Linked DNA regions of Arabidopsis thaliana. The protein of the gene in region 1 interacts with the protein of each later gene in a pairwise test. Each region holds a gene or a part of one and is shown in the gene's direction. Other genes may lie near its edges.

Region 1 (5,112 bases):
AGATGAATTGCTAAAAGAACCATTATCCCAAGTAAAATGTATTAGAAACCTCATACTTGAATGAGGAACCCTAAAATATGTATAGAGGATTGTGATAATGTACTCACTATCAATATAGTCAGTTATAAGTTAGAATTCTGTTAAAAGTGTTAAAATAATGTTTTGTTTCAAATACTTAGTTTATCAAATAAACTTTTTTAATCTTTTTATGTCACCATGAGTTATCTGAATAAAGATGTTTATATATCCGCAAGACTAGTCAAAAGTGGATAGCTCCATTAACTGTTATAGTGTAACTATTCTAGTGTAACAATTCTTAGAAGTATTTGGTTTTACTATTTTAGTCTTACTTTCTATACTTGATTGTTCAGGTAACATTTTCAAAATTGGAGATGATTTTACTTAATCGTAAACTTATTACTTATATACTAAAAAGCTTGTAAGTAGGGCCCGAAATGTGGAAAACATTGTAATTTAAATCCAAACTAGTTTTAGAAGAAGACGCAATGTATATATAATAATGGAAAAATATGAAAACGATATCAGCCAAACATACTTATTATGAATATTAATTGGAGAGAAGGAGTGTAACCATCCATATGGTGTGAATTCTATGATTTTTGGACCCATTGTTATAAACGAAGGAAGAAGACAAAGAACATGAAGACATGAATAGTTTTATTTCAAAAGTAATGAATAAATATATAAATAAAAGGAATGGTTGTCGTTTGAAAATGGGTACGAGTAAATAGTGTTGCAGACTCTGCTCCAACAGTAATTACAACAATGCAATATGCAACCACGACCCACTTGCTTCTATTCATTTCCCATTCTTGTTCTCTCTCCAAATTGACTAATGTTTTAAATGTTATATGATCATGATAACCATTCTTTTTTCTCTTTGCACGCTTCTTCGTTAGGTTAGGTCGTACGTAAAAAGTGATGACCTAATCGTAGAGACCAACTAAATTTCGGTTCTGATTACTTAATCGAGTGTTTAAATTTGCTTAACTTGACATTTGTTACCAAGAAAGGAGAACTAGTAGTGAAAAAAGAGAGTTTAAAACCTTGACAATCGCTTAACCCAAAGTTTTAGAATATTTCTGCTAGTACATAAGGTAAATGTACACATTTATTGTAGTTGTTGTATTGGTTGAATTTGGCTCTGTTGGTTGAGGTTTCAGATTCATAAAAAAAAGTACTGTAGTTACTAGTAAAAATGAACTTGAATTATGGTTGTATTGTTGTTATACAAAAATGGCACACTTTATGAAACCAACTAAAAACAAGTATCCATTTCTGATAATAACATTTTCGAGGATTTTTAAGATATACAACAAAATGCAGAACTATATACAAAGTCTTGTGTCTTGAGAATGTAACTTCAATTATTAACACCAAAATGTCTAAAAACCTAAAGCATCTAAGAAACGGTGCCACTGTCTCTAACCCCTTTCTCAACAGTTCGATACAAAACTTCCATTAATGTTTTTCTATTCCCTTCACATTTGGAAATTCAAACTAAAAATGCATAAACAAAAAATACTATAACCTCATCTTAAAAATTACTAATGTCCCAGTAACATTAATCTCATAGGGTTACTAATCATGGGTTATCTTTTAAACTCCAAAAACAAAGTAGGTATCATTATATAAACAAGTTTCATGGTATATCTCCTAATTTTCCCGTAGAGGAAAGTATGAAGATATATATAGAGAAGAAAGACAGAGTCCGTGATCACTCACTCTCTCTCTATCTCTATATATCGACACACCATAAAAGTTGTTCTTTCTCTCCGTTTCCTTAGCCTCTGCATCTGGGCGATTTTCTCTTTCTATCTCCCTACACCTTAGGGAGTACTGATCCTAAACTCATCATCTTTCTATGCCTTCCTCTTTTCTTTCACTTATTTTCTTTTCTATTTTTTTTCTTTCTTACTTTGCGTAAAACTAGCGAGTCAAAAATAAAGACACTTGCATGATCCTAATATAATATTATATATTGTAATTAGAGAAAGAGAGAGAAGAGAAGAAAGAAAGTGGCAGTAGATTCTTATGGATTTTGGTATAAAGAAACATGAAAAAATGGGTTTGACCGAAGAAACTTTGAGGACGGTAACTTCATTATCAACTTTTCGACTGTATTTATATTTTAGCTTTTGTCAAACCGTATCATATAATATTAATGCGAATTACTAGTAGAGAGTATAATAATAGTAATAACAAAATGCTTGGTTACTGTATGTAAATCCCTAGACAAAAAGAATAAGAATAAAAAGAGCAAAATTCTTCATCCCAAGATCCATCAGGAGAGTCAGAGTCAGACCCCATCTCTCATTTCCCATCTCTCCTTTTCACATTTATTTCCTTTTTTTTCTTTCTAGATACTTTTTTATTTTGAAATTTAATACTAATAACTATACATTTATTGTTATTATTGTTGTTAGAGTCTATGCTAGGGTCCAAGGGTTCATCCCAATATCCCTTCTTCTCCTTAGAAACTCGCAACTTCTTCACATGGAAATCAATTCCCTCTAGTACCAAATCCTATTACTATTGAAGGTATACTCTATAGTTATTTATTTAGTTAAGTATATATATTAAAAATAAATAACATTAATTAGTACTAGTCTTATCATATTTATTAGCTCATTTTCTTATAAAATACTAATATAATAGGAAATTTAAGCACAAGATGAGCTTTGCCCATCGAGAGCCTCAAAACCCAAAAGTCTCTTCTTCTTCACGAGATCCAATCTTTTGCTTTTTAGTAATTAATTACATCTTCTTCCTTCTCTTCTCTCTTCTTCTTCCCTCTCTCATACCTACCTATAAGCAACACAAAGAACACCATTGATCCCATCTGTTTTGTTCCCTATATTTCGTTAATCCATCCATACGCATTCCAACTACACGGTACAAATTTCCATCTCTTTTTAATTTGTTTTTATAATGATTTTAAATCTCTCAGGTTGTCTCTAGACTCTTAGGTCTAGTTACCAAAATTTGACTAGCAATCATATAGCTACAAGTTCCTCTATATCATATAGCTACACATATCTCTAGGTCTGAAATGATCTTTTATCTCCCAAGCATATATTATATATTTGGATGCATACCTTTATGTTTGACTTTCGAAAAGCACCTTCATGTTACTCATTTTTTCCTCTATTTGCTTTCAACAGTTGACAAGAAGGTTGGATCAGTATATATAAGTATACATATACACTTATGTGTGTGTGTAGTGTATGTGCATATATAGCTCACCAAATATCTTTAATACTACTAATTGCAAAGTTTCTCTTATTTTACAGCTTTTTGTATGCAACCCCAAATAGCAGCTTAAAGAAAGCAGAGAGGATCTTCTTTTATTTCCCCTCTGAGCAACAGAAGCCATTATTCAAAGAAAGGCTTCTTTAATTTACTCGCAGGTAAAAGCTTTCTTATTCTATAGAGATTGAACAACTTTTTTTTTTTTTTAATTGACAACAATAAAGATTGAGCAACTTCTCTACATTATTTCTTTCTTTATTTTCTCACTTAATTTCATATTTGATTACAAAAACAGATAATGTAATATCTCCAAAATCACAATTGATTTCATAATATCTTTTTTTGTTTCCTTATACCTTCTACCTCCAAAAACTAAATTCAAAAACCCTTATTTCTCTCAATTTTCAATGGCGGCTTTGTGTAGGGAGAGGGAAAAGAGAAAAAATTGAAAAACTCCATTTTCAAGTCATTAAAATGGCATCTTCTTCAACAAACTCACCATGCGCCGCTTGCAAATTCCTCCGGCGAAAATGTCAACCGGAATGTGTATTCGCGCCCTATTTCCCACCGGACCAGCCACAAAAATTCGCAAACGTTCACAAAGTGTTTGGAGCAAGTAACGTGACAAAGCTCCTCAACGAGCTTCACCCTTCACAACGTGAAGACGCAGTGAACTCTTTGGCCTATGAAGCCGACATGCGCCTCCGTGACCCTGTCTACGGCTGCGTCGGCGTCATCTCTCTCCTCCAACATCAGCTTCGTCAGCTTCAGATAGATCTCAGCTGTGCTAAATCTGAGCTCTCTAAGTACCAAAGCCTCGGTATCCTCGCCGCCACTCATCAGAGTCTTGGCATCAACTTACTCGCCGGAGCAGCAGATGGAACAGCCACCGCCGTGAGAGACCACTATCACCACCACCAGTTTTTTCCTAGAGAACAAATGTTTGGTGGCTTGGATGTTCCGGCCGGTAACAACTACGACGGTGGGATTCTTGCCATTGGACAGATCACTCAGTTTCAGCAGCCGAGAGCCGCCGCTGGAGATGATGGTCGCCGTACTGTTGATCCGTCTTGAGATTTTAGGGTTTTGGTGGTGTTCATCTTCGTCGATCGCTTGGTGATGAGAAAACTATAATTTTAAGAAAATATTTGATGTGGAAAACCAAAATATTTTAAACGTATGGTACGTCTCTCTTAATGACATTAATTTCGGTTTTTATTATTATTATTACTTAGATATATTATGATAGTCACTTTTGTATTTCTTTCAAATTTTATGGACTTGCTCTCTTAATTGATATCACATACTTGCATTATAGAGTATATTATTTCCAAATATGTCGAGTCTATTGATCCGCATATGTACCTCCAGCAAGAATATAGACCTAAATTCAGTTAATCATTGAGTGATTTTAATGGTTAATGTTAGACTTCTTAAGTATTTAAAAAACATTATTAGTAAAAATTATGAATATGAAATATAGTGTATACCATGTAGATAAATGTATTATAGTGTTTTCCTTTTATTTTTTTTGTAGTTCAAATTTTAAAATTAAATAATAAAGGAAAACTATTAAAAACATTTAAAATTGACATATTTATATAAATGATATTTGCAAGAAAAGAGGTTTGATGTGGAACACTGTCAGCGTCAAGGATAAGATTTGATGTAAGAAGAGGCTTAACGGAATATAACATGAACATGAAACATCTTATCTCCGGGCGAATTATACCCACTAGCTCTTTCTAGGCTTTCTCTCTAATTAAAAAGTCTCCTTCATCTATTTATGATGACTCTATTTATTGTTGTTGTAAATACTAATTGTCACATCAACTAATT
Region 2 (7,871 bases), on another chromosome or scaffold:
CAATTGCATATAAGGTTCTGAGACAAATCCGTTATCTATGGCTGCCATATTGTATATAAATTCAAGCCGAGCTACTTAGCTGTGTAATCTCTACCGAACTCATTGCATAAAGCATGACGTTATAGAAGCTTTACCTCCATAATTTGATTTGTAGGTCATTTGGTTTAGCTTCCGGAAGTAGCGCAGCATCATAGGCAACAACATTTCCATAAAATATTCTCTCCAACTCCTTCATCCACTTGGCTAGCAGCAAGTTAACCTGTAATTTCAAGAAAGATTAAGACCATCTTATTTTAAGGAATCTAAGAAACTAAGATATCTCTTCGAAACTATATTAAAGCAAAACCAAGTCTAGCACGTACCCCGGCTTTAGATACCCTGAGTTCAACATCATGATTGTAGATCTCATAGACGTATTGACCAAGGTCAACACCTTCCTGTCCATCTTCCTTCAAGCGGCGTAAAACAAGCCACATATGAAGGACAAGCAGCGAATACGTTATTTTGAATGTTTTCTCCAAGTTGAATACTGCAGCAGAGACAGAGCACCCGATATATAAACAAAGCACAAAATGTAAATACATAACTCTGTTTGCAAAAGTTGTGTTGGAAACCAAATAAAGTACCATCATATATTGCAGGTTTATCAACTTGTGCAATGATCCGCTTGTAGATCACGTTAGCCCCACGGATAGACATGCTCTGTTTGCTATAGAACATCATCATCTTTAGTATGAAACGACGAATCCCTACATAGTCTGGTTCATCAATTCTGAGAGGAGAGTCTTTAGGCAGAGCCAATGAACATGGCTTTGACCAAAACATCTTATCCAAGTTTATCTGTCAAACATAGAACAAATCCTTTTCATCAAAGAAGACACGATTGTCCAGAAGCAGTTGACTAAAAGAGCATGAATCTAAATCACAAACATACTAATGAAACTCCAACAGAAAAAAAGGGATGAATCCTAAATGAGGTACAATGGGGAGGCAGAAGTCACTTTAGTCCCGCATTCGATGAAACTAGAAACAGAGAGAATCAAATTGAGCTTAGGTTCGAATACTATAGTGAGACCTAAACATTCACAACAACTACGCATTAACAGCTACTTCTGAAAACGAGATCTTTAATCTGAGTAAACAAAATGTTACCACTTTAAGATCATACCGGAGATTTACTGGGGAAATCCTTCTGCGACGGAGGATCAGCTGCCGCCGGCGCAACAGTCGCGTACCCATATCGGGAGAAAAAGGAGAGATTTTTCATCGATCCATTAGTGGTCAAAGATCGAAGCTTTGAGGTTTGAGTGACGACTCGAGCTAATCTGGGCAACATTAGAGAGAAACCCTTGTGGTTTTACTCAACAGATGAATAAATCTGAAGGGAGAAATTTGAATGAGTAAGATCGAATTCTAAAACCCTAGGCGAAAAACCCTCTCCGACTCCTTTTCTGTGTGATTGATGATGGGGCTAGGTAGTCGTCCACGTTAGCGTCTATTTGGCCAGATATTCAATTACAGTGCTAACTTACGCCGTTATTAGGAACGGAAAACCTTGGTTATGCAAAAACAAACACATTTTACCGATATTGGTGACACGAAACTGATGGTCGATTTTAGATAGTAAGAGTTGATGATACCATAAAATATGTTTGTTTATACCATTATCATTTTAGGGGGATAAGGAACTATGACTACTTTGTCATCCATTTTTTTGGTGGATCTCTAATTTGAACTCAAGTGGCTTATATTGAATAGTTAAGAAATTATGCTTTCTCATGGCCATTGGGGAATTTAGTTTCAATTAGTGAAAAGAGTTTTAATTAGATTTTATTGTGCACCGAATTTTACTGATTTAGGACATGGTTTACGCTTATTTTCTCAAGAGCAAAAATATTTACGGTCTCCTCAACAATATCATCAATTTACACTTTTTATTACTCTTCGAAACGCTTCATCTCTCTCTTTCTCTCTCTCAAGCTGTCAAAGTCACCTCTGTATTCGCGTGAAGATAATTTCTCACAATTAGGGTTTTTTTTTTCTTCTGAGTTAACTGTTCCATCTCCATCCTAATCTTCACCTTCTCCTTGATTTCGAGATCTCTGTCAATTTGTTGAATCTGTTCTTTATCTAATTAGCTCAACTCCGAGTCTTTGCTGGATTTTGAAGGTCACCACTGTTCAAGTTTACATTTTTTTTCCTGCTAATCGCTTGATACCCGTTTCTGCTGTTGTGGGATTTATTGGGTTTTTCTTCTTTACGATTTTTGTTGCAGCTTTTGTAGCTGAAGCAAATTTGTAATCTGTGATGGTGTATGCACTGATTCTGGGTATGGTATTGTACTCTAGGATCTCGTAGCGAGAATGCCAGGCATTCCTCTTGTTAGTCGTGAAACCTCTTCGTAAGTCTCATGAACAACCTAATGCTTCTATAATGTCTCTGCAGCATTGTGTAACTTTATACTGTTTCTCTTATGTATAAGCTGAGGAATCCTAGTAATTCAAACTTATCAAATTTTTATTTTGTTGTGGGGTTGCTTACAATTTTGGTTGCGTATGATGGTGAAATCACAGTTGTTCAAGAAGCACAGAGCAGATGTGCCATGAAGACTCCCGTCTGCGTATTTCGGAAGAGGAGGAGATTGCTGCTGAAGAGAGCTTGGCTGCCTATTGCAAGCCTGTTGAACTCTACAATATCATTCAACGCCGTGCTATTAGGAATGTATGTCTTCCTTCCTACCTTTTTTAGACAGAATATGTTTAGTTATGACTTATGAGCTCAGCTGATATATCACATGTATTGGTTTACTTTTGAGTTTTGACAATGAAAATTTACATGAAAATGTAGTTTGAGTTGACTTCATTTGGTATAAGCAAGTATGTGTTGTCTTGCTATGCAGTCCATCCTAATCATTTCTCTCTCTCTGTCTCCCCTGTAGCCCTTGTTTCTTCAGCGATGTTTGCATTATAAGATTGAGGCAAAACATAAAAGGAGGTAAGCTTTTTTTTTTTCCTTCCTTTCTCTGTTCAGAATCTCCATTACTTTTGGGTAACTATTACACTATACCTTAGTAATTCATTCCGGACTTGAATGCTTTCTAAGTTTTCGGATAGTTATCAATATATATTACTGCTTTGCAGAATACAAATGACTGTATTCCTCTCGGGCGCTATAGATGCTGGGGTACAAACTCAAAAATTATTCCCTCTGTATATTTTGTTGGCAAGACTCGTTTCTCCTAAGCCTGTCGCTGAGGTATGCATTTGAACCTCAGACAGATTTGCATTGATCTTTATTATTTGTAACTTACCTATTCTTTGCTAACATTTTTCTTGAAATTCTCAAATTATAGTATTCTGCAGTATATAGGTTCAGTCGAGCATGTATCCTAACTGGTGGATTGGGGGTTGATGGAGTTAGTCAAGCCCAAGCCAACTTTCTTCTCCCTGATATGAATAGACTCGCATTGGAGGCAAAATCAGGATCACTCGCTATCTTGTTTATCAGCTTTGGTGATTAAGACTGACTGTGTACAAAATTATATAAAGACATTTATATATGTACAGTATTCAGATAAACTGATCACATAATTTTCTTCTTGTAGCTGGTGCGCAAAATTCTCAATTTGGCATTGATTCAGGCAAGATTCATTCAGGTACTTCCATTTCTTCATTGATATAACATTCTAATATTGAAAAGTTATGTATCTTTGGGCATTACCAATTTTCCATGTAATAGTATGGAAAATCTCAGTCCTATTTATTAACAAAAGAATTAGGGATTCTTTGACTCCAATTATAAGAGTTTCTGAAAGTCTTTTTTTTCATTAACTCTTACCATCGGAAGCGTTTTTTTCTGCCAGGAAATATAGGAGGACATTGTTTATGGAGCAAAATACCTCTGCAATCACTGTATGCGTCGTGGCAGAAATCACCAAACATGGACTTGGGACAGAGAGTAGACACAGTCTCTCTTGTTGAAATGCAGCCTTGCTTCATAAAGGTAAACACTATTGCCCAAGTCTTCCTCTTGTTCTATGACTTTATGCTCCCTGTATTGAAATAAGGACTGTGTATTGAACTTCTTTTGTTATTTGAAAAAGTAAATTGGAAGTAATTGCTACTGTGAATTTTATTTTTGCCATTAGTTTTCAGTCTTGATTATTTAAATGAAAATATTACTGGTATAACTTGTCCATTGCTGCAGCTAAAGTCCATGAGTGAGGAAAAGTGTGTCTCGATTCAGGTGCCCAGCAATCCACTCACCTCGGTAACTTTGCACACTTTGCTATACTTCCATACATTATTCTGAAATATCATGTAATCATATTCTTACAATTCTTACACTTCTTATTTGAAGAGCTCTCCGCAGCAAGTGCAAGTCACCATATCTGCAGAAGAAGTTGGGTCAACGGAAAAATCTCCTTATAGTTCATTTTCATATAATGACATCTCTTCCTCTTCCTTGTTGCAAATTATCAGGTAATCTTCAGTTTAGTCTGCAATTTCTTCTGCGCTCTCAGATTTCTTGCCTCATCTCATTATGATTTTTTGTAATTGTATAAAATATATTGGCCGGTCTGCTATCTCCCTTAATATATAGTTGGCAGTTTTCTTGAATTGTGACTGTCCTCCTCTTTTATGGGGATTATACAAGTCGTTACGTACAACTAAAAATGTCCATCTCGTTAAGTTGACTCTATACCACTACATTCATTGCATAGGTTGAGAACAGGAAATGTAGTTTTCAACTACAGATACTATAACAACAAATTGCAGAAGACTGAAGGTAACTAGTATTATTTTAACCTGTTTCATACCCATGTGTGTCTATATTTCATCCGTTACCCTAACCTGTTACGTATATGTTTGCTATGTGTCTTGCAGTAACTGAAGACTTTTCTTGTCCATTCTGCTTAGTAAAATGTGCCAGTTTCAAGGTGGACTTTCATTTCCATTCTCATTCATCCTCTTAGTCAAAGATACAGCTGTAGTGACTAGTCTTTGTAGTGATGCAATCTTTTCTTTTTCTCCCAATCATGTTGTAGGGCCTGAGATATCACTTGCCATCAACCCACGATCTCCTCAATTTCGAGTTTTGGGTTTGTAGCTTTAAAATTCAGTTAACCTGTTTGATCTTTTTTTTTTATTTTGTGGGTGCCACTAATCTGCTTTACTTGGTTAGGTAACTGAAGAATTTCAGGCGGTAAATGTCTCCCTCAAGACTGAGACAATGATATCCAAGGTTAGAACATCTTGTTTGTTCGATTTATGTTCATTAGTTTCTCTGCTGTATATCTTATAGGCTGTAACAAATTCATTTTTCATTTAAACTAATATCCTCCATGGGTTGTTGACTTTTGTGTGGTTAAATAAGGGAACTGGAATCTTTAGTTGCTATTTGTCACACTATGATCCTTGCTATTGTCCTTAATAGCGTGATGAGAATAAACTCAAAATGACATCGCTGTTCTGTTTACTTTTTGTGGCCATGAGACCGTCAAAGCTCGACTGTAGAATAAAGTCCTGGATTATATAGGAGTGTCAAATCTAATTGAAGTAGTTGGTTCTACAATATATTCTATGTCTTTGTAGTTTTTCCTATTTGATGATTACTCTTAGCACAGTTTTCTAAATGTTAATGTTCATTAAAAAATCTGCTCAGGTTAATGAGGATGACGTTGACCCAAAGCAGCAAACTTTCTTTTTTTCGTAAGTTATCTGGCCTATATGTTGCCTTTTATTATCTTTCCAGCATCTGTGTGAGACCATAAAAATTCTTCAATATGTGACAGTTCCAAAAAATTCAGACGGAGGAGGCAAAAGAGTCAGGTACGGAGCTCAAGGCAAGGGCCTCATCTTGGATTAGGTTGCGAGGTGCTAGATAAGACTGATGGTATGTGTTTGACTGAAATGACAGTTAATTGGATTTGTAGTATTGGCTTCTTTTGTGATGAGAGCCTGTCTTAGTTGTATATTTTACGAGTATTTTACTTTGTTATGTGCAATTTTGCATGCAACAACGTTGGATCATTTGGCACAGCTTTTTATTCTTACTTTCAGATGCTCATTCTGTTAGAAGTGAGAAGAGCCGAATACCACCTGGAAAGCATTACGAAAGAATTGGGGGTGCTGAGTCTGGTCAAAGAGTTCCTCCTGGCACGAGTCCTGCAGACGTGCAATCATGTGGGGATCCAGATTATGTGCAGTCGATAGCTGGAAGTACAATGTTGCAGTTTGCAAAAACGAGGAAAATATCTATAGAACGGTCGGACTTGAGGAAGTATGTTTGACTTCCTTTTGTCGTTCTATCCTCTTCTTCAATTTATATTTAACTACATATGGTTCATGCATGAAAAATTGTGTCCTAGTTTTATAACAAGTAGCTTGTTAATCCCAAATGATGTGAGTGAGTTTTTCAAATTTTTTCCTCCTCCAGCCGAAGCCTCCTTCAGAAGAGACAGTTCTTCCACTCTCATCGAGCTCAGGTGATCTTTTTTCTTTAGCTCTCTTGCTTTTGAAGATTGCAATTGATTTTGACTTTGCTATGTGTACTATCGCAGCCCATGGCTCTAGAACAAGTACTTTCGGACCGGGATAGTGAAGATGAAGTTGATGATGATGTGGCAGATTTTGAAGATAGAAGGGTATGTTTTTGAATTTAATATTTTCACCGCATCAGTAGTTGGGTAGAATAAAGCTCAGTAGTTGGGTAGATATATGTTTCATGTGAAAGGGAAAGGAATATTGAAGACTGGGCATGGGCAAACGTTAGGAGCAATATTGTAATGGTTCAGAGATCAATAGAAAATATGTGAGCAAGCCTCACGGTTTGATATGGAACAGTAGAACCAGATCATTAGTGCTTATATAACACTCATTAAAAGACGAAGTGTGTCCGTTTGTACTCGATTCTAACATAGTTGATTCTAACATAGTTTGTCTGATTCTCCATATAGTGAATAACGTTATTTCCTATTACTATTCTTTCAGATGCTCGATGATTTCGTTGATGTGACTAAAGATGAGAAACAGATGATGCACATGTGGAACTCGTTTGTGAGGAAGCAGCGGTATGTCTTATCTCTTTTCAGTACATGTCACGTGGAGTTTTCCAGTATAAACATTTAGAGTCGCGCATGTAAAGGTTGTGGATAATTCCTGCATGAGTTCTTCTGGTTAAAAAAAAAAAACTGAACAATTAGATAACATACGCATCCATGTTCTCTGACTCATTATAAGCATTACCTTGACAGTGGTTTTGGACCCTTTGCAGAGTATTAGCAGATGGTCACATTCCATGGGCATGCGAGGCATTCTCAAGATTGCACGGACCCATCATGGTTCGAACACCGCACTTGATTTGGTAATTCAACTCTCATTTCTTCCATTGTTTTTTCCAGTGTATCGGAGAAGAAAGCGGTTTTGTTGATAAAAGTGAGCTTTTTTTGTGTAGGTGCTGGAGAGTGTTTATGGTGAAACTGTGGAACCACGGTCTTCTTGATGCCCGAACCATGAACAACTGTAATACCTTTCTCGAACAGCTCCAAATTTGAAAACCCAAGAAATCATTAATTTAAGTAGAAAAACAAAGAAAGACAAGAGAAGAAGAGTTTTGGGTTCTCATTTAACTACTTTTGGTGTTTTAAGAGAAAGAGGAGCATATTTATGCATGAATTTGTCCTCATCTTTTTTTTTTTTTTTTTTAATTATAAATGTGTACATTGGCTTATCTTTGACGCTTGTTCTTCGAGTAATGCTTTATACATGTTCCTTACTCATTTAGGATATCATATGGTTGAAAACTTGAAATACTAATTGACTTTGTACACTGGAAACCAGACATGGATGTTACTCTGGAAACATGCATCA
Region 3 (4,646 bases), on another chromosome or scaffold:
CAATCAAACGGTCAAGTAAATCATACACATCGATAATTTATTTTTTTATCCTTCAAAGCAGGCCCATCCAAGGCCCACCACTATTCTCATATCAACATACTTTTCTTGTTTTGGTTAAATCAACCTACCATGTTGGCTGTTCTCTCCGCTCCTCTGTGTAAGATCACACCAACACCACTGCATAATTTCTTGTATTATTTTGAGACTTGAGAGTAAACTGATTGACAAAAAAAAAAAAAAAAAAAAAAAATTGAGAGTAAACTAGTTTCTTGAATATTGATTTTTTCAGCTTAATTTGTTGGGGAAAGATATTACTACTATTGCTGTAAAAAAAAAAAAAAAAAAAAAAGATATTATTACTATATTTGTAGTGATTTTATTTTGAAAATTCTCTTCACTTTTTTGTAGTTAACATTCTAATTTTGTGAAAAGAACTTTTAATGTCAGGTCATGTCTCTTAAAAAGTTTGCATGATGAAATGATTTACAAATTACAATAGAAAATGGAAACCATTGCAAACTAAATTTTTATCAAAAAAAATCGAAAATAAAATGTATTGACTTAGTAATGCTGTGTCTGCTACGATTAACTATTACACATAATGCAACACTGAATTATCCAAATACATTATTAGAATAATAGTATTACAGTATCACTATTACAACAACAATGTCAACAATAATCTTATTATAATAATATATAAATAGACCTTAGTGACATCATATTATATAGAAAACATGTGGTTGCCTAATTTGTATAAGCTAGATACTTGGGGGTGATGAGTGACTAGTTGATGCAATGATAAAAGAGTGAAAGTTTTGTCTGCCTGATTATAGACGTCGGAGAAATACTAAAATACGCTATGAAGATTTTGGCGCATGGTAGCAGAAAAAAAAAACGGAGGGTGTGAGTGAGTAGTGGTAGTCGGATGTGATGGAACAAAGAAAAGTATTTTTGGTAGGGTTATGGGAGAGAGAAGGGGACCATTATTACACACTTACATGCTTTCCCCAAAAGATACCATTCCCATTTTCTGACACGTGTCCCCCTCATCCCCAATTACTCATACGTCAAATCCAATTTTTAGCCTAAAAGTTTTTTTTATTTGTTTAGCCAAATCTATTTTACTAATTAAAGTTTTCAAATGGCAAATAGAAAGATCTTCTAAGGTTTTATAAAATTACTTGATTATTTCTAGTTTTGCTCATTTTTTAAATAAAATTTCTCTTTTTTTTCTTGCAACATTATTGATTTTTTTTTTGATAGGGAGTAACATTAGTGATGTTCTATCTCTTCTCATTGCAAAAACTTTATTTTCTCATCTCTATTTGATCATCATTGCGAAATCTTCCATTTTCAACAAATACTTTTCCATGTTAATATGCTGTTTCAAAATATAAGTGTTTGGAAAATAAATCAACAAGTTTAAATGTTAACTATTTTTATGCTATTATAATTATTTTTCTTATGGGTAAGTGGAAATTAATGTTACTCAAATTGGACATAAAATTCTATTGTTTGAGTGAAGGAGTTTATAAATGGAGCATTATTTTCTTGAATGGTTAGTTTTTCTTCTATCATTTTGACAAGTAAATGACTTTTCAGCCACTAAAGTACAACACTTTTTCATTTAAATTTAAAGCATCCCCTACATTAGATTGTCATTTTATTTCTCATAATGTTATAGAAAAATGAATTTTGAGATCCCAATGTAGTAAATATATATAAAAAAAGGTTTAATATTGTCAATGACAAACAACGAACTTATGGAATTTCAACTTTTCACCTCCACGCGCCTCTGTCAGAGTTTTTTTTTTCCCCACTTGTGATGTAAAAAGGGGAAAACGTCTGTGTCTCAGTCGGTAAACTTTTTCTCTCTTTTTTTTTTTAAAGATTTTATTTTAATTATGCCGTCTCTGTGGTCTAATCGTGTACGTCGTCTGGTTTTAAAAGCCTCTCTCACTTTGGTCTTTTCGTTTTCTCTCTTCCATTTTCTCCAACTATATAAAAAAAAAAAAGTGAGAGAGAGAGCAAATCTGTGTGATGGAAGTTGCTCTTGAGTTTGGGATTATTTATCTTTTCAATATCATTTGGTAAGCATTTTTATTTTGTTTTATAGTAATAATTTTAACTCTCTTATCTTCTTAATAAGTCTTTGCTTAATAGTGTTTTGGGGTCAGCATTAATTTCCCCTGTTTGGTTTCCAGAATATAGGTTGTATAGTGTGATAATAACAAATTATTCCAAGTTTTGCTTCAAACATTGTCAAAGTTTTTGTCATTTTCATTTCTTGAAACGGAAATTTTTCAGACTTTGTAATTTCTAATTCGAAAATTCGACAGATCTTGTAGATTTGTTTCGATCTTTTAGAGTTTTGAATTGGAGAGATTTATGAAACGGGTTGATTTTGAATTTGGTACAGATGAAGAAGGATGGTGAGATGGGAAGAAGTGATGTCAGGAGGAGTAGGAGATGAAAGAGAGACAACGTTGGAGTGGTGAAGAAGATGCATTGTTACGTGCTTACGTTAGACAGTTCGGTCCGAGAGAATGGCATCTTGTGTCTGAGCGTATGAACAAACCTTTGAACCGTGACGCCAAGTCTTGTTTAGAGAGATGGAAGAATTATCTTAAGCCAGGGATCAAGAAAGGGTCTTTGACAGAGGAAGAGCAGAGGCTTGTGATCCGTCTTCAGGAGAAACACGGCAACAAGTGGAAGAAGATTGCTGCTGAGGTTCCCGGGAGGACGGCAAAGCGGTTAGGGAAGTGGTGGGAAGTGTTTAAGGAGAAGCAACAGAGAGAAGAGAAAGAGAGTAACAAGAGAGTTGAGCCTATTGACGAGAGTAAGTACGATCGGATTCTCGAGAGTTTCGCTGAGAAGCTTGTCAAAGAGCGGTCTAACGTTGTCCCTGCTGCTGCCGCTGCTGCAACGGTTGTGATGGCTAATTCGAATGGAGGGTTTTTACATTCTGAACAACAAGTTCAGCCTCCTAACCCAGTGATCCCGCCTTGGTTAGCTACTTCTAACAATGGGAACAATGTTGTTGCAAGGCCTCCCTCGGTAACTTTGACATTATCGCCTTCCACAGTGGCTGCAGCTGCGCCTCAACCGCCAATCCCGTGGCTGCAGCAGCAACAGCCTGAGAGAGCAGAGAACGGTCCAGGGGGACTTGTGTTAGGGAGTATGATGCCGTCTTGTAGTGGGAGTAGCGAGAGTGTGTTCTTGTCAGAGCTTGTGGAGTGTTGTAGAGAGTTGGAGGAAGGGCACCGAGCTTGGGCAGACCATAAGAAAGAGGCTGCATGGAGGCTAAGAAGGCTGGAGCTGCAGCTAGAGTCAGAGAAGACGTGTAGACAAAGGGAGAAGATGGAGGAGATTGAGGCAAAGATGAAAGCTCTTAGGGAAGAGCAGAAGAACGCAATGGAGAAGATCGAAGGAGAGTACAGAGAACAGCTCGTTGGTTTGAGGCGAGACGCAGAGGCCAAAGACCAGAAACTGGCTGATCAATGGACCTCTAGGCATATCAGACTCACCAAGTTTCTTGAACAACAAATGGGTTGCAGATTAGACCGCCCCTGAACCGTCTCCTAAACTCTTTGTTGTAACTTGTAATGTAATGTAAGGTTTTTTTTTTGTTTTTTTTTGTTTTTTTTTGTCTTTGATCATTTGGGTGTCTCCAATGTTTACTTAGACTTTTGGGTTCCTTACCTCAGCTTTGTATTTGTTTCTTTTACCTTTGTGTTCCATTTATCACTTCAGTTTATCCATGGCTTTGTTTTCTCAAGCTTGATGTTGATTTAGTCAGCTGCAACACTTTGGTTTATAAATAAAATCGATTTATATCTTTACATGTGTAAATTCAAGTAGAAGACAGAAAACAAATTGTTACATAATAATTGAAAAATTGAAGAGGAAGAGGTGTGTACTTATTCACTCAAAAACACAGTTGCATTAGATTTTAAACCATACTACAAACAGATTACCATAAATCCATGAAAATGTATTTGGCATGAATTTCAAAACATAAGAGAACAAAAACAAAGAGCAGAATAACGGAAGATTAAAAACCCGGCTTGAGAAATGGTCGGAAAAACCCTGGCGGTGCTTCTTCTCTGAAAAATGATCAACTTTGAACTCAGAAGCACTTCCTGTGAACAATCGATGGACCTGACTCGTCATACTCTGCCTTTGCGATCCACATCTGCACAAGGTAACACATAGTTTCAGAATTGAACCAGTTTAGTTAAGCTGAGAGTGATTAGGATTTAGTTTAGGTCTGTTTAGAGTAAACAAGTGATGGGACTGTGTGTACCTGCTGGAAGGTACTGAGGGAGGCCAAGATGGACCCTCCAATCCAGACAGAGTATTTCCTCTCTGGAGGGGCAACGACTTTGATCTTCATGCTGCTTGGAGCCAAAGCAGTGATCTCTTTGCTCATTCTGTCGGCGATTCCAGGGAACATTGTGGTTCCACCACTGAGCACAATGTTACCGTACAAGTCCTTCCTGATGTCGACATCACACTTCATTATGGAGTTATAGGTGGTTTCATGGATACCAGCATTCTCCATACCAATCATAGATGGCTGGTAAAGAACCTCAGGACAACGGAATCGCTCTGATCCAATGGTGATCACTTGCCCATCAGGT
Region 4 (4,936 bases), on another chromosome or scaffold:
AGCAAACTAAATAAGATGATCCATACATACTACTTGCCTACTTGGCCATATTGTCAACTACTTTGATGATCACAATATCATTTTGATGAGGCGTATATATATACATTTAATTAATATTGATGTCAAAAACTAAAACTGACGTTAATAATCAATGACATTATTGTGCTTAATTATTGCATTTCATACAAATTTCCCCATAATTAAGAATTTAAATCTCTCGTAATCATTCTATTTTGTTGTGTTGCAAATCGTGACCGTAATTCCAAGTGGAAGCTACTTTTGATTTACATTTAATTAATATGCAACCGTGGGATGACATATATTCTCCTTTTCTCTACTAAACAACCTATTTCATGTTTAAATATTATATTTTGTTTTGTTTGATTAATTATTTTATTGTGTTCGTATTAGGTTTGTTAATTGACCCTTTTCTATCATGCTAATATGTCACTTTCTGATTTATTATTACATTAAAGTAGGTGGTCTAATAGTAATTATTTATATGAATAGTTTTAAACTATCAAATAATGCTGTATACTATATATATTTTTCCAACTAAAAAATTATATAGTTATGATCCTTTGCGTCAAGTTTTTATTATTGCTTTGAAGAAAAAACATATTCAACTACTTGAAAATTACGTTAGCTTACCGTACGTGTGTTCAAATTTAATATGCTACAAAATTGTGTGAACAATATAATAGGTTTGTTGTATTTATTCGTTTTTCACCAATCTGGAGATATTTTGTGGTACAAGTATTATAACCACAATATATTCCATACATGAATTAGTTGTGAGAGTTATAGTCAAATTGGTTGGGATTCAAGAAGCATTATACTATTATTATAGAGTCCCACCAATTATTTTTGAACTCGTAAAATTCTCAAGATCTTAGAAATGTCTCCGTTGAAGCTTAGATTGTCTTTTACTCACCTTTATTAGTTTATTTATACGTCGTATTCTTCAATTTCAAAATACCTTTCATATATGAATTTGGGTGATATGCACACGAACACGATACGGTGAAATCAATTAGTTCCACAAGTCAAAATAGCTAGAAAAGAAGTATTGGATTTTAGAACAAAGAATAACGAGAGTCTTATTGTGTTTGTTACTAGTTTATAGAATCTAAAACAGGATTGCAAAAAACAAAAACATCAAAAACGAAGATGAGAGATGAAAAAAGAAAATCTTAGATTATAAAGAGCCCTAATTGTATTGCTAACTAATATTATATTCTTCTTTTAACGAGTTCGATTTTTCGAATAAAATCTACTTTAGTTAACTATTGAGATTCTTACAACAAAAAGGTAAAAAGAAGTGGAGCATCAACAAGCTTTATGTATTTGCATTGAACTAGCATGGGTCAACCCTTAAAAGAAACCGAGAAGCACAAAAGGTTGAATTGAACCTTGACCCATCTAACACCATAGGTTTTTAGGGTATTTATTCATTTATTGAATTCGGAAACTCGAAAAATAAAGTAGCTAGTTCATTCCAGTGATTTCAACTTTTTAAGTATATAATCCCCATGATTATGTATGTATGTGGACATGTCCACGAAAAGAGTGCCCATTTTCATATCAAGGAAGTTAGTAACTCTGACCAAAAGTAGATGTTTTAACACATCTTAGTATTTTTATATCACACTAAATTAAAGTAGTCTGTTTAATGTATTCTCTTAGAAAATAACATAATGATTTGCATGCACATAACAAATCCTATACTATTATTTTGGTAAACAAATTTGGTTTTGGAAACATCTAACTCTAAAAACCATCATTATTATTATTATTATTTTTTTTCTAATATTTTGGCATCCTACAATTTAGTTTATGATTGTGTTGATTATTATTTGGTTGTATTTGCATCTACACATTAAGTTAAACATTGATTTTAAAAATTAACATGAACAAAATGAATACTTACTGTTAAAACCTTATAACAATCAGATTTTTTTTTTAAACAAAGAATGGAAAAAAATGAATAAATTTGGGAAACGAGGAAGCTTTGGTTACCCAAAAAAGAAAGAAAGAAAAAATAAAAGTATTGAATGTGGAGATGAGAGGAAAAAAACACTTACTGTCATCTTACCCAGTTGCGTCATCATCAAACCCACAACACTCTCTTCCTCTTCCCTCTTCCTTCTGCTTATTTTACTTTTTCTCTTTAACCATTTTCCCGAGAGAGAAAAATAAAAAGAAAAGCTTTCTCTGGGTTTTTCTTGATTGGTCAATTACACATCTCCCTTTCTCTCTTCTCTCTCTCACCTTCGCTTGCTTTGCTTGCTTCATCTCTTTGGTCTCCTTCTTGCGTTTTCTATTTACTACACAGACCAAACAATAGAGAGAGACTTTAAGCTATAGAAAAAAAGAGAGAGATTCTCTCAAATATGGGTTAGTCCACAATTTTCACTAAACCTCTTCTTCTTAGGATTGTTTTTAGGGTTAGGGTTTTGAGGTGAGGAGAGCAAGTATGCGGGAGTTTCATCCTTTTTGAGTTACTCTGGATTCCTCACCCTCTAACGACGACCACCGTCGCCGCCGCCGCCGCCGTCTCGACGAATATGCTCTACCAATGTCTGACGACCAATTCCATCACCCGCCGCCTCCTTCTTCAATGAGGCACCGTTCTACGTCGGATGCGGCGGACGGCGGCTGCGGCGAGATTGTTGAGGTGCAAGGTGGTCACATTGTTCGGTCTACCGGAAGAAAAGACCGCCACAGCAAAGTCTGCACGGCTAAAGGGCCACGTGACCGGCGCGTGAGACTCTCTGCTCACACGGCGATTCAGTTTTACGATGTTCAAGACAGGCTTGGTTTCGACCGACCTAGCAAAGCCGTTGATTGGCTTATCAAAAAGGCTAAGACTTCCATTGACGAGCTCGCTGAGCTTCCTCCCTGGAATCCCGCCGATGCAATTCGCCTAGCCGCTGCTAACGCTAAACCCAGAAGAACCACCGCCAAAACCCAAATCTCTCCGTCTCCGCCACCGCCGCAACAGCAACAACAACAACAACAGCTTCAGTTCGGTGTTGGCTTCAACGGAGGAGGAGCAGAGCATCCGAGTAACAACGAGTCGAGTTTTCTCCCGCCGTCAATGGATTCAGATTCGATAGCTGACACTATAAAGTCGTTTTTTCCGGTGATTGGCTCTTCAACGGAGGCTCCTTCGAATCATAACCTTATGCACAACTATCATCATCAGCATCCGCCGGATTTGCTTTCTCGAACTAATAGCCAAAACCAAGATCTCCGTCTCTCGCTGCAATCGTTCCCGGATGGTCCACCGTCGCTTCTGCACCACCAACATCACCACCACACCTCTGCTTCCGCCTCCGAGCCTACTCTGTTCTACGGACAGAGCAATCCGTTAGGGTTTGACACATCGAGTTGGGAGCAGCAGTCGTCGGAATTCGGAAGGATTCAGAGACTAGTGGCTTGGAACAGCGGCGGTGGCGGCGGAGCAACCGATACAGGAAACGGAGGAGGGTTTCTGTTCGCTCCTCCTACTCCTTCAACGACGTCGTTTCAGCCAGTTCTTGGCCAAAGCCAACAGCTTTATTCTCAGAGGGGTCCCCTTCAGTCCAGTTACAGTCCCATGATCCGTGCTTGGTTTGATCCTCACCATCATCACCAATCCATCTCCACCGACGATCTCAACCACCACCATCACCTTCCTCCACCGGTTCACCAATCAGCAATCCCCGGAATCGGATTCGCCTCAGGTGAATTCTCTTCGGGTTTTCGCATACCAGCACGGTTTCAGGGCCAAGAAGAGGAGCAGCACGACGGTCTCACTCACAAGCCGTCCTCTGCTTCCTCTATTTCTCGCCATTGACAATCGAAACTAATCCTCTAAGTTTCAGGTTTATCTCAAGTTCTGTCCTTTTACATCAAATTCACTACTTTTGTACTTCTTTGGTCATTGAACTTTAAACCATTTTGCAGGGCTTGTCTAGCTTCCATGCACATTGAAGCTTGACTTAGATTGTCCGGAACAGGGAAGGTGTTCTCGGTTTGTGTAGTCAATGGCCTGAATCTAGAAAACGCAAGGAAATGAAGAAAGAACAACAGTTTCAGGTTCTTCTTCTTCTTCTTCCAATATCTTAACCTTGCCGATTGTAATTTTTCATATTTTCACCAGTTAGACCAACGTTCTTCTGTAGCTCAATTATGGTTAGATTCCAAGGTTTCGTCTTGTTGTGTTATGTTTGTAACTTTGTATCATCATCATCCTATTGTTACTGCTCCCTGTTCTTATTGTGTAACTCCGTGGATGTTCTAATAAAGTCTGAAACTTTCTCTTTGGGTTTTACTTTTACTGCTCTGTTCAGGCTAGATCCTTGTTATTTAAACAACATGAGATTCCTATTTCTCACGTAATCTTTTGGTCCCAAGAGATATAAGTTGGTCATTTTCCATGAACAGTAAGTTTTGAATTGTTTCTTCTTCTGGAACATCAGGGGGATTTAGCCAGTTCCCTTAAATTACAAGTGAAACTTAGCTCACTAAGAGTAAAAATATGATTATTGTTTTCTATGTCTGATGTCAATAATTGTTCTCTCTCACCTACTTTAGTGGTAGGAGGAGATCCACCAAACTTGAATGTGATGTTGTCTTTGATGAGTAAAAGAATGGGGACATGAGATAGGTAAAGAGAGCCACCCATGTTGGTCTAAATGAAGGAAGTTGATCAAAACTAGTCTATCTTCTCTATCATCATCATCTTTTGATAATAATATTGGATTTTTGCAAAGTTTAGTCAAAAACACTTGGGGTCTAAATGCATGTGTATTATAAGAATATTTAACTTTACCTTTTAATAGAAAAGCAGCAACACCTTTTCATGTGATGTAATCAAAACACACCAGATGGATGAGTTGAGATATCATAAAGTACGTTTACATCAAAAGATAGAAAAGAAGAATCTTCA

The links.
Region 2: the proteins of AS2 (region 1) and EMF2 interact in a protein complementation assay, tested with the Arabidopsis thaliana proteins (one study listed by BioGRID).
Region 3: the proteins of AS2 (region 1) and AS1 interact in a two-hybrid assay, tested with the Arabidopsis thaliana proteins (4 studies listed by BioGRID, with this or other methods).
Region 4: the proteins of AS2 (region 1) and TCP4 interact in a two-hybrid assay, tested with the Arabidopsis thaliana proteins (one study listed by BioGRID).

The regions. Positions count from the first base shown.
Region 1 is NC_003070.9:24,396,399-24,401,510, forward strand, and holds AS2 (Lateral organ boundaries (LOB) domain family protein), read left to right. Parts: upstream 1-1,744; 5' UTR 1,745-2,115; exon of another isoform or gene 2,116-2,916; intron 2,917-2,919; exon of another isoform or gene 2,920-3,314; 5' UTR 3,315-3,431; intron 3,432-3,697; 5' UTR 3,698-3,747; coding exon 3,748-4,347; 3' UTR 4,348-4,588; downstream 4,589-5,112. UniProt on the Arabidopsis thaliana protein: Negative regulator of cell proliferation in the adaxial side of leaves. Regulates the formation of a symmetric lamina and the establishment of venation.
Region 2 is NC_003076.8:20,821,790-20,829,660, forward strand, and holds EMF2 (VEFS-Box of polycomb protein), read left to right. Parts: upstream 1-1,854; 5' UTR 1,855-2,169; exon of another isoform or gene 2,170-2,275; 5' UTR 2,276-2,363; coding exon 2,364-2,401; intron 2,402-2,573; coding exon 2,574-2,721; intron 2,722-2,938; coding exon 2,939-2,994; intron 2,995-3,140; coding exon 3,141-3,255; intron 3,256-3,352; coding exon 3,353-3,512; intron 3,513-3,604; coding exon 3,605-3,655; intron 3,656-3,862; coding exon 3,863-4,002; intron 4,003-4,206; coding exon 4,207-4,269; intron 4,270-4,359; coding exon 4,360-4,481; intron 4,482-4,723; coding exon 4,724-4,788; intron 4,789-4,886; coding exon 4,887-4,939; intron 4,940-5,047; coding exon 5,048-5,101; intron 5,102-5,184; coding exon 5,185-5,244; intron 5,245-5,664; coding exon 5,665-5,711; intron 5,712-5,794; coding exon 5,795-5,895; intron 5,896-6,062; coding exon 6,063-6,282; intron 6,283-6,438; coding exon 6,439-6,487; intron 6,488-6,562; coding exon 6,563-6,646; intron 6,647-6,992; and 7 more. Other genes in the region: AT5G51220 (ubiquinol-cytochrome C chaperone family protein), read right to left, coding at 135-259, 363-529, 627-840, 1,169-1,336. UniProt on the Arabidopsis thaliana protein: Polycomb group (PcG) protein. Involved in flowering processes by repressing unknown target genes and preventing reproductive development.
Region 3 is NC_003071.7:15,780,728-15,785,373, reverse strand, and holds AS1 (myb-like HTH transcriptional regulator family protein), read left to right. Parts: upstream 1-1,893; 5' UTR 1,894-2,093; intron 2,094-2,422; 5' UTR 2,423-2,472; coding exon 2,473-3,576; 3' UTR 3,577-4,132; downstream 4,133-4,646. Other genes in the region: ACT1 (actin 1), read right to left, coding at 4,133-4,198, 4,310-4,646.
Region 4 is NC_003074.8:5,059,730-5,064,665, forward strand, and holds TCP4 (TCP family transcription factor 4), read left to right. Parts: upstream 1-1,951; 5' UTR 1,952-2,578; coding exon 2,579-3,841; 3' UTR 3,842-3,869; intron 3,870-3,951; 3' UTR 3,952-4,423; downstream 4,424-4,936. UniProt on the Arabidopsis thaliana protein: Transcription factor playing a pivotal role in the control of morphogenesis of shoot organs by negatively regulating the expression of boundary-specific genes such as CUC genes, probably through the induction of miRNA (e.g. miR164).